Xenopus tropicalis: one gene and its partner. The protein of the gene in region 1 purifies or fractionates together with the protein of each later gene. This does not show direct contact. Links are inferred from orthologs where the notes say so. Each region holds a gene or a part of one and is shown in the gene's direction. Other genes may lie near its edges.

Evidence for each region. Proteins that work in one complex are often made in the same cells at the same time.
Region 2: the proteins of supt7l (region 1) and usp22 purify together in Homo sapiens (affinity purification with mass spectrometry; 3 studies listed by BioGRID and IntAct, with this or other methods). This does not show direct contact. The link is inferred for Xenopus tropicalis from reciprocal best matches to the Homo sapiens genes SUPT7L and USP22.

What each region holds. Positions count from the first base shown.
Region 1 is NC_030681.2:5,371,949-5,376,084, reverse strand, and holds the start of supt7l (STAGA complex 65 subunit gamma), read left to right. Parts: upstream 1-1,336; 5' UTR 1,337-1,353; intron 1,354-3,283; 5' UTR 3,284-3,404; coding exon 3,405-3,817; intron 3,818-4,136. Other genes in the region: slc4a1ap (kanadaptin), read right to left, coding at 1-1,165.
Region 2 is NC_030685.2:41,426,026-41,429,525, reverse strand, and holds part of usp22 (ubiquitin carboxyl-terminal hydrolase 22), read left to right. Parts: intron 1-2,793; coding exon 2,794-2,895; intron 2,896-3,500. UniProt on the Homo sapiens protein: Deubiquitinase that plays a role in several cellular processes including transcriptional regulation, cell cycle progression or innate immunity.

The sequences.
Region 1 (4,136 bases):
CCGTGGGCGTTTCAGCGCTGGGGGTCCTGCTGCAAGTTGGGGCCGAAGGCTGTGAATGGACGACTGGTTTGTCCCTTGGCTGAGCTGCCTTTTCAGTGCCACTCGGGCGGGCAGCAAAGATGGGTTTCTTAAAGGATTCTGTGGTCCTGGCATCATCGGGCCCCTCCATGGGACTGTCCCTGGGCGCACTGCAGCCAGAGCCTCCATCCTTACTGGGAGTCCTTGAGGCAATCTCCCCATAACTGGGCCTGGGACTAGGTTGTTTCTCTGGAGTGGCCCCTGCAGAATCGGGGCCCGTGGAACTGATGCCCCTGGGTGAACTGGATTCCTTGGGGGTGCTGGCCCCAGAAGCATTGGAGTGTTCATCCTCATTGGTCCAGGAGCTGGACTGCCCCTCCCCATGGGATTGGGTAACATGGGGCCCCTGGGATTGGCTATTATCGGGCCCCTTGGGGGTAACATGGGACCCCTGGGATTGGGCATTATTGGCCCCCCGGGATTGGGTATTATTGGGCCCCTGGCATTGGGTAACATGGGACCCCTCAGATTGGGCATGATTGGGCCCCTGGCATTGGGCATGATTGGGCCCCTGGCATTGGGCATGATTGGGCCCCTGGCATTGGCTATCATTGGGCCCCTTGCATTGGGTAACATGGGACCCCTCAGATTGGGCATGATTGGGCCCCTGGGACTGGCTATCATTGGGCCCCTGGGACTGGCTATCATTGGGCCCCTGGGACTGGCTATCATTGGGCCCCTGGGACTGGCTATCATTGGGCCCCTGGGACTGGCTATCATTGGGCCCCTGGGTGGGCCTGGAATCCCGTTGGGTTTCTGCACTGGTCCCTGTACAAGAGGAACTCTCATGCCTGTGGCCCCCAAGCCCCTCATGGCTATCCCTGACCCCCCTGGAACAAACATTCTTGGGGCCCTCGCTGCCCCCGGCCCCCTCACCCCCACCCCTCTCAGCAACCCCGGGCCCTGGAGTGGGGGCCCCATTGGCAGTATCGGTCGGGCCCCCGGTACTGGGAGGTTCCCCGGCAGCGCTCCCCCCTTGCCCATTATCCCCGGCCCCAGGGGCCCCCGTATCCCCGGCTTCCAAGGCAGCGGCCCCGGGATAACTGGCCCGTTCCCTGCCATCCGGGTCATGTGCAAGGGCCTCCATGTATCCAGCGCCACTTTCACCGGTTCGGGAGGAGAATCCGGAACCCACGGTACGTTATCCCGCTACAAACACCACAGAGCGGCCCGCAGCTGCTTCCGGTCTCATGGAGGCGCCTGTTGATGAGATCACTTCCGGCGTGCCCCCCCCCCCCAGTCTGGGACACAGGGAAACCGGACTGACTGTGTGAGGTAATGGGGGGCTCCTGGGGGGCTGTTCTGCCCCAATAAGGGGTAATTATATCTTAGTTGGGATCAAGTACAGGTACTGTTTTATTATTACAGAGAAAAGGGAATCATTTAACCATGAAATAAACCCAATAGGGCTGTTCTGCCCCCAATAAGGGGTAATTATATCTTAGTTGGGATCAAGTACAGGTACTGTTTTATTATTACAGAGAAAAGGGAATCATTTAACCATGAAATAAACCCAATAGGGCTGTTCTGCCCCCAATAAGGGGTAATTATATCTTAGTTGGGATCAAGTACAGGTACTGTTTTATTATTACAGAGAAAAGGGAATCATTTAACCATGAAATAAACCCAATAGGGCTGTTCTGCCCCCAATAAGGGGTAATTATATCTTAGTTGGGATCAAGTACAGGTACTGTTTTATTATTACAGAGAAAAGGGAATCATTTAACCATGAAATAAACCCAATAGGGCTGTTCTGCCCCAATAAGGGGTAATTATATCTTAGTTGGGATCAAGTACAGGTACTGTTTTATTATTACAGAGAAAAGGGAATCATTTAACCATTAAATAAACCCAATAGGGCTGTTCTGCCCCCAATAAGGGGTAATTATATCTTAGTTGGGATCAAGTACAGGTACTGTTTTATTATTACAGAGAAAAGGGAATCATTTAACCATGAAATAAACCCAATAGGGCTGTTCTGCCCCCAATAAGGGGTAATTATATCTTAGTTGGAATCAAGTACAGGTACTGTTTTATTATTACAGAGAAAAGGGAATCATTTAACCATTAAATAAACCCAATAGGGCTGTTCTGCCCCCAATAAGGGGTAATTATATCTTAGTTGGGATCAAGTACAGGTACTGTTTTATTATTACAGAGAAAAGGGAATCATTTAACCATTAAATAAACCCAATAGGGCTGTTCTGCCCCCAATAAGGGGTAATTATATCTTAGTTGGGATCAAGTACAGGTACTGTTTTATTATTACAGAGAAAAGGGAATCATTTAACCATTAAATAAACCCAATAGGGCTGTTCTGCCCCAATAAGGGGTAATTATATCTTAGTTGGGATCAAGTACAGGTACTGTTTTATTATTACAGAGAAAAGGGAATCATTTAACCATTAAATAAACCCAATAGGGCTGTTCTGCCCCCAATAAGGGGTAATTATATCTTAGTTGGGATCAAGTACAGGTACTGTTTTATTATTACAGAGAAAAGGGAATCATTTAACCATTAAATAAACCCAATAGGGCTGTTCTGCCCCAATAAGGGGTAATTATATCTTAGTTGGGATCAAGTACAGGTACTGTTTTATTATTACAGAGAAAAGGGAATCATTTAACCATTAAATAAACCCAATAGGGCTGTTCTGCCCCAATAAGGGGTAATTATATCTTAGTTGGGATCAAGTACAGGTACTGTTTTATTATTACAGAGAAAAGGGAATCATTTAACCATTAAATAAACCCAATAGGGCTGTTCTGCCCCCAATAAGGGGTAATTATATCTTAGTTGGGATCAAGTACAGGTACTGTTTTATTATTACAGAGAAAAGGGAATCATTTAACCATGAAATAAACCCAATAGGGCTGTTCTACCCCCAATAAGGGGTAATTATATCTTAGTTGGGATCAAGTACAGGTACTGTTTTATTATTACAGAGAAAAGGGAATCATTTAACCATTAAATAAACCCAATAGGGCTGTTCTGCCCCAATAAGGGGTAATTATATCTTAGTTGGGATCAAGTACAGGTACTGTTTTATTATTACAGAGAAAAAGGAAATCGTTTTTAAAAATTAGCATTATTTGCTTATAATAGAGTCTATGGGAGATGGCCTTTCCGTGATTCTAAACTTTCTGGATAAGGGATCCCATATCTATTTTCTCACTGTACTTTTTGTTACTTTGCGCCATGCAGGTGATTAATATAAGAGAAGCGGCTGATGCGGCAGAGAGAGGCCCAGAATGACAGAGATATCATAGCTGAATGAGAGTCCATTGATTGTGTGACTATAATCACTGACACAAAGAGAGGGAAGATGATGCGCTATTGGGGCGAGATCCCAGTCTCCTCTGGGCAGGCCAATAGAAGCTCCTTTGATCTCCTGCAACGCGAGTTCCGAACGGTGGAAATGCAGGAGCCTCCCCTACACCAGCCATCGGCCAATAAGCCCCGGCCTACCACTATGCTGGACATTCCCTCTGAACCCTGCAGCCTGACTATCCACACCATTCAGCTCATCCAGCATAACCGCAGACTGCGGGGCCTCATCGCCGGCGCTCAGGCTCAGAACCAGCAGCAGGTGGAGGGTATGAAGGTGGAGGAGAGCGAGCCTTTACCCCTCAGGCCTACCTCTCCTGCCCTCCCAGAGGATCTGCTGCCCCAGGACTGTAAGGTCCCCAAGCTGCCATTCCAGATTCGGCACAGCGACCCTGAGAGTGAATTCTACAGGTATTATATCGTACTTCTTGTGTCTGCAGCCCTGTACATTAAGGTGTATATTTATCATGTTGTGTAAAAAGTGAAGTAAAACATTACCAGTGATGTTGCTCATAGCAGCCAATCAGATCAGATGATTTGTTTGCTGTTGAAATCTAATAGCTGATTGGTTGCCCTGGGCAACATCACCAGTAATGCTTCACTCCACTTTTTACAAAGCATGATAAATATACCCCTAAAGGTACGTCTTTGTGCCTCGCAGTGGGAGGTACCTGAACCTTCTAATGGCAGCTTTTTAAGTGGAGGAGCAGGGAGTTTGTGATTCAAGAAG
Region 2 (3,500 bases), on another chromosome or scaffold:
GAAATTTGATTGGCTGTTGGCCCCTCCCACTTTGGGGGTCATTCAACAAATGTGGCTGTTTCATTCGGGTGACCCCATGATTGTTGTTCATGTTTGGGGGGTGTAGCTTTAAAGCTGTAAGAGTGGCAGCATTTTGAAAATCTTCCCTGTCAGTCAATGGGAAAATCGGGGTGTTCGGAGCGGCGCCACAAAAAGACTGGGGGAGGGATCGCTTAGAAAAGCACAAGCAATCTGCTCCACTTTAGGGCGAAGTGTGGAAAGTTTGGGTGTTGTCCCCCTAAAACTGTAGGAGTATCTTTTAGAAAATGGGGGACGCTAAGAATAATAATAAGAAAAAGCAGAAGAATAAGCTGAACAGTATGTTGGGTTTTTTAACCCAACATAATAAGCAAATAAAACTGTAGTATCCCTTTAATTTGTTCTTAAGCAGTTCAGGCAAGACTTACCACTGGTTAATTCCACTATGGCAAGAAAATCTTTTATTTATAAAAGATATTCTATTGAGGGAAATGTTATCATTCCTAAAAGCTCATGGTATAAGACCATAAATGTCAAAATACTAATCTACCATATACTAATATATAAATGTGTGAAATATTTTTTATTTACAAATGGCCTTTATTCACTTAATGTGCTCTGTATTTATCCCCAGAGTGTGCTGATAAAAAATTATCTATTAATTATTTTATAGTTTCGTAAAATTATCTTAAAACCTTGTACAAACTTTTGCAAAATGGCAAATATAGCACATTCATTCCAAGTAATGTTTAACCACGCAGATATTAATTTGCAATTTGGGGTGGTTAAAAACCCAAATTTTATCAAATAGTGCTTTATACTTTTTTTTTTTTTTTTTTTTTTAAGATTTGTAAACTAAGCACAATGGGTGTAATTTATTGATATTGGGCAAAATTGACCATGGGCAGTAACCCATGGAAATCAATCAAATTGTTGCATTCATTTTTCTACCTTCAGCTGTCTAGAAAAGCGAATCTGTGGTTGCTATGGGTTACTGCCCACGGCCAAATTTGCCTAGTGTTTATTAATGAGTTTAGTATAGTGTAGTCCTGTTACTGCTACCCATTGAAAATGGCCAAAGTGAGTTTCTGAATAGCGATGCTCAAATCTGTCTCATTTTGCTTTACCAAAACATTTGTGAATTGTGGCTACCACGTGATTTTATTTATTTTTTGACGTGGCCACAACTTTTTCCTCACTGCGAATTTTTACAGCAGTTTTGCAAAAAAAATTGCCAAAGACGGAATGAGAAATTCTGCCACGAATCCATGTCTGCTGAAAAAATGTGCTCATCACGCTTACTGAATGGTGCATTCCTCTTAGTGCCAGTGTCTGCCTGAGGCAGAGAATTTCCTGTTCTGTGACAAGAAAGGCTACTCCTTAGTTCTCCACGAGAGCAGCAACACAGCCAATACTGGTGTGTTGGTGGTATAAGATTTAATATTAATAATAATCACACCTCTTGCTTATGGTTCTTTTGAGCAGCAGACAAATAATCCACACCAATAAGTGTATGTTAAAGTGATATACTTACAGGGTAGTTATACAGTCTACATTATTGTAATGGTAATAGAACAGACGTTGGCTTCCTTTTGTCCTCCAGTTCTATCATGGCTTCTCTCTCTCCCTCCAGCACCTTTGGTCTGCAGTCCTTACATGATGTCTCCTCTGTCTCCTTAAAGGCTGCTCCCGTCTCCTCACAGGCTCCCCCCCCCCCACTGTGCAGTGCTTACTTTTTATACAGGTTTTCCCCACTTGCCCCCACAGTGAACGTCTCAACTGATAAGATAAACCACCCCAAACTTGCCAGTTTTCTGCAACCTGTGAGTTGAGTGAGTTTCTCGCATACAGAAATTAGTTTATGGCTCCTGTAGAAAACATACAGTCCAACTAAAATTCACAGGAAAACCCTTTAGTATGTATAATTTGTGTCTGCTTATGATTTGAAATGTAAGCTTTCTGCACAACTGGTTTTCTGGTCATGGTGAATATGAACACATACTCGTATAAAAGATAAATAATGTATTTCAATGTAGTGGTTATTCTTGCACAAATTCCAAGAAAATATTTTACAACACCAAACCAAATAAATTTAATATATACTCTATGCTGCATATAAGCTAGTGCAATTTTTTTTCCAAAAAGGACCACCACCTTGGGGATGGCCTTAATGATTTGATTTACTGGTGGGTGTGTATTGCCCCTTTCACCTGTCATATGTCCTTTAAAGGTAAGATAAGTGTGAAGGAAAAAAAATGCTCTGCTAGTGCTTTATATTAAAAATTAACTTTAAAATATGCGTTTTTAATTAAAAATCTGATTGTATTTTTACCATAAGTTCTATTTATTTTGGCAAATGTATATACTATACTGTGCCTTTCAGTTACATTCTACAATACCATATGTCGCAAACATGCTCCTGGGTACAAAAAAAGTGCTTATATCCCACTATTTGAATTATTTCAACACAAATCATAGGAGAGAATCAGCACCATTTTATTTAACGCCACAAATTTCTTAGAATCCTGCTTCTGGACAAAGGGTTTACAGTTGTCCAAAACATTGAATGATAGGGTGGTGGTTAAAGTTCTGATATACAAAATTAACCACAATATATGTTACCATTATACTTGTACTTAACGGGCTAAACACAGGTTGCTGAATTCATGCTTGTATGTGTCGTATCTGAATGTAATAATTAGAACATGTTCATTTCAGCTTTCCTGCAGTAATTTTTCATTTATTGGTCACTCCCAAATTATTTAATTATTGTAGGAGTTGGAGAAAAGTATTCAACGTGGGAGCCAACAAAGCGGGAACTAGAGCTGTTACAGCATAACCCCAAGAGAAGAAAAATTACGACAAATTGTACTATAGGTAAGTTACATTTAGTGTGTGTGTGTGTGTGTGATATATAATGTATATGTGCAAAAAAATGTGTGTGTGTGTGTGTGTATATGTATATATATATATATATATCTATTCCAATGACGGCACTCACCAATCGCAAACCACGCGCCGGATGCTCACCAAAAATATATATATATATAGATAGATATCTATATATATCTAGATAGATAGATATCTATATATCTATCTATAATCTGTATTCTGTGTCTGCAATTAAAGGAGATCTTCAGTTAGCTGTGTTCTAACCCTATTTTAACTGCTTTGCCTTCTGATTTATTTAAAACATCACCTGTTATAATGCTTTCCTAAGTGTATCAGAAGATTTACCCCTGATAATAAGGGATTGTACAGCATATAAATCACTTTGCCTGTACTGGGAAACCAATCACTGCTTCCAATGGCAGTGTTGACTGGTTAGTATTAATCCATCTTGCAGGGCAAAGGATGCTTAAAGTTTACAAATATATCACTACTAGTATTACAGACATTCTTATTAGGGGTGCTCATTTTTTTTTTCCCCTCCAAATTTATAATGTTGATGTAATCTTTGTAATTAACTTTTATACATGAAT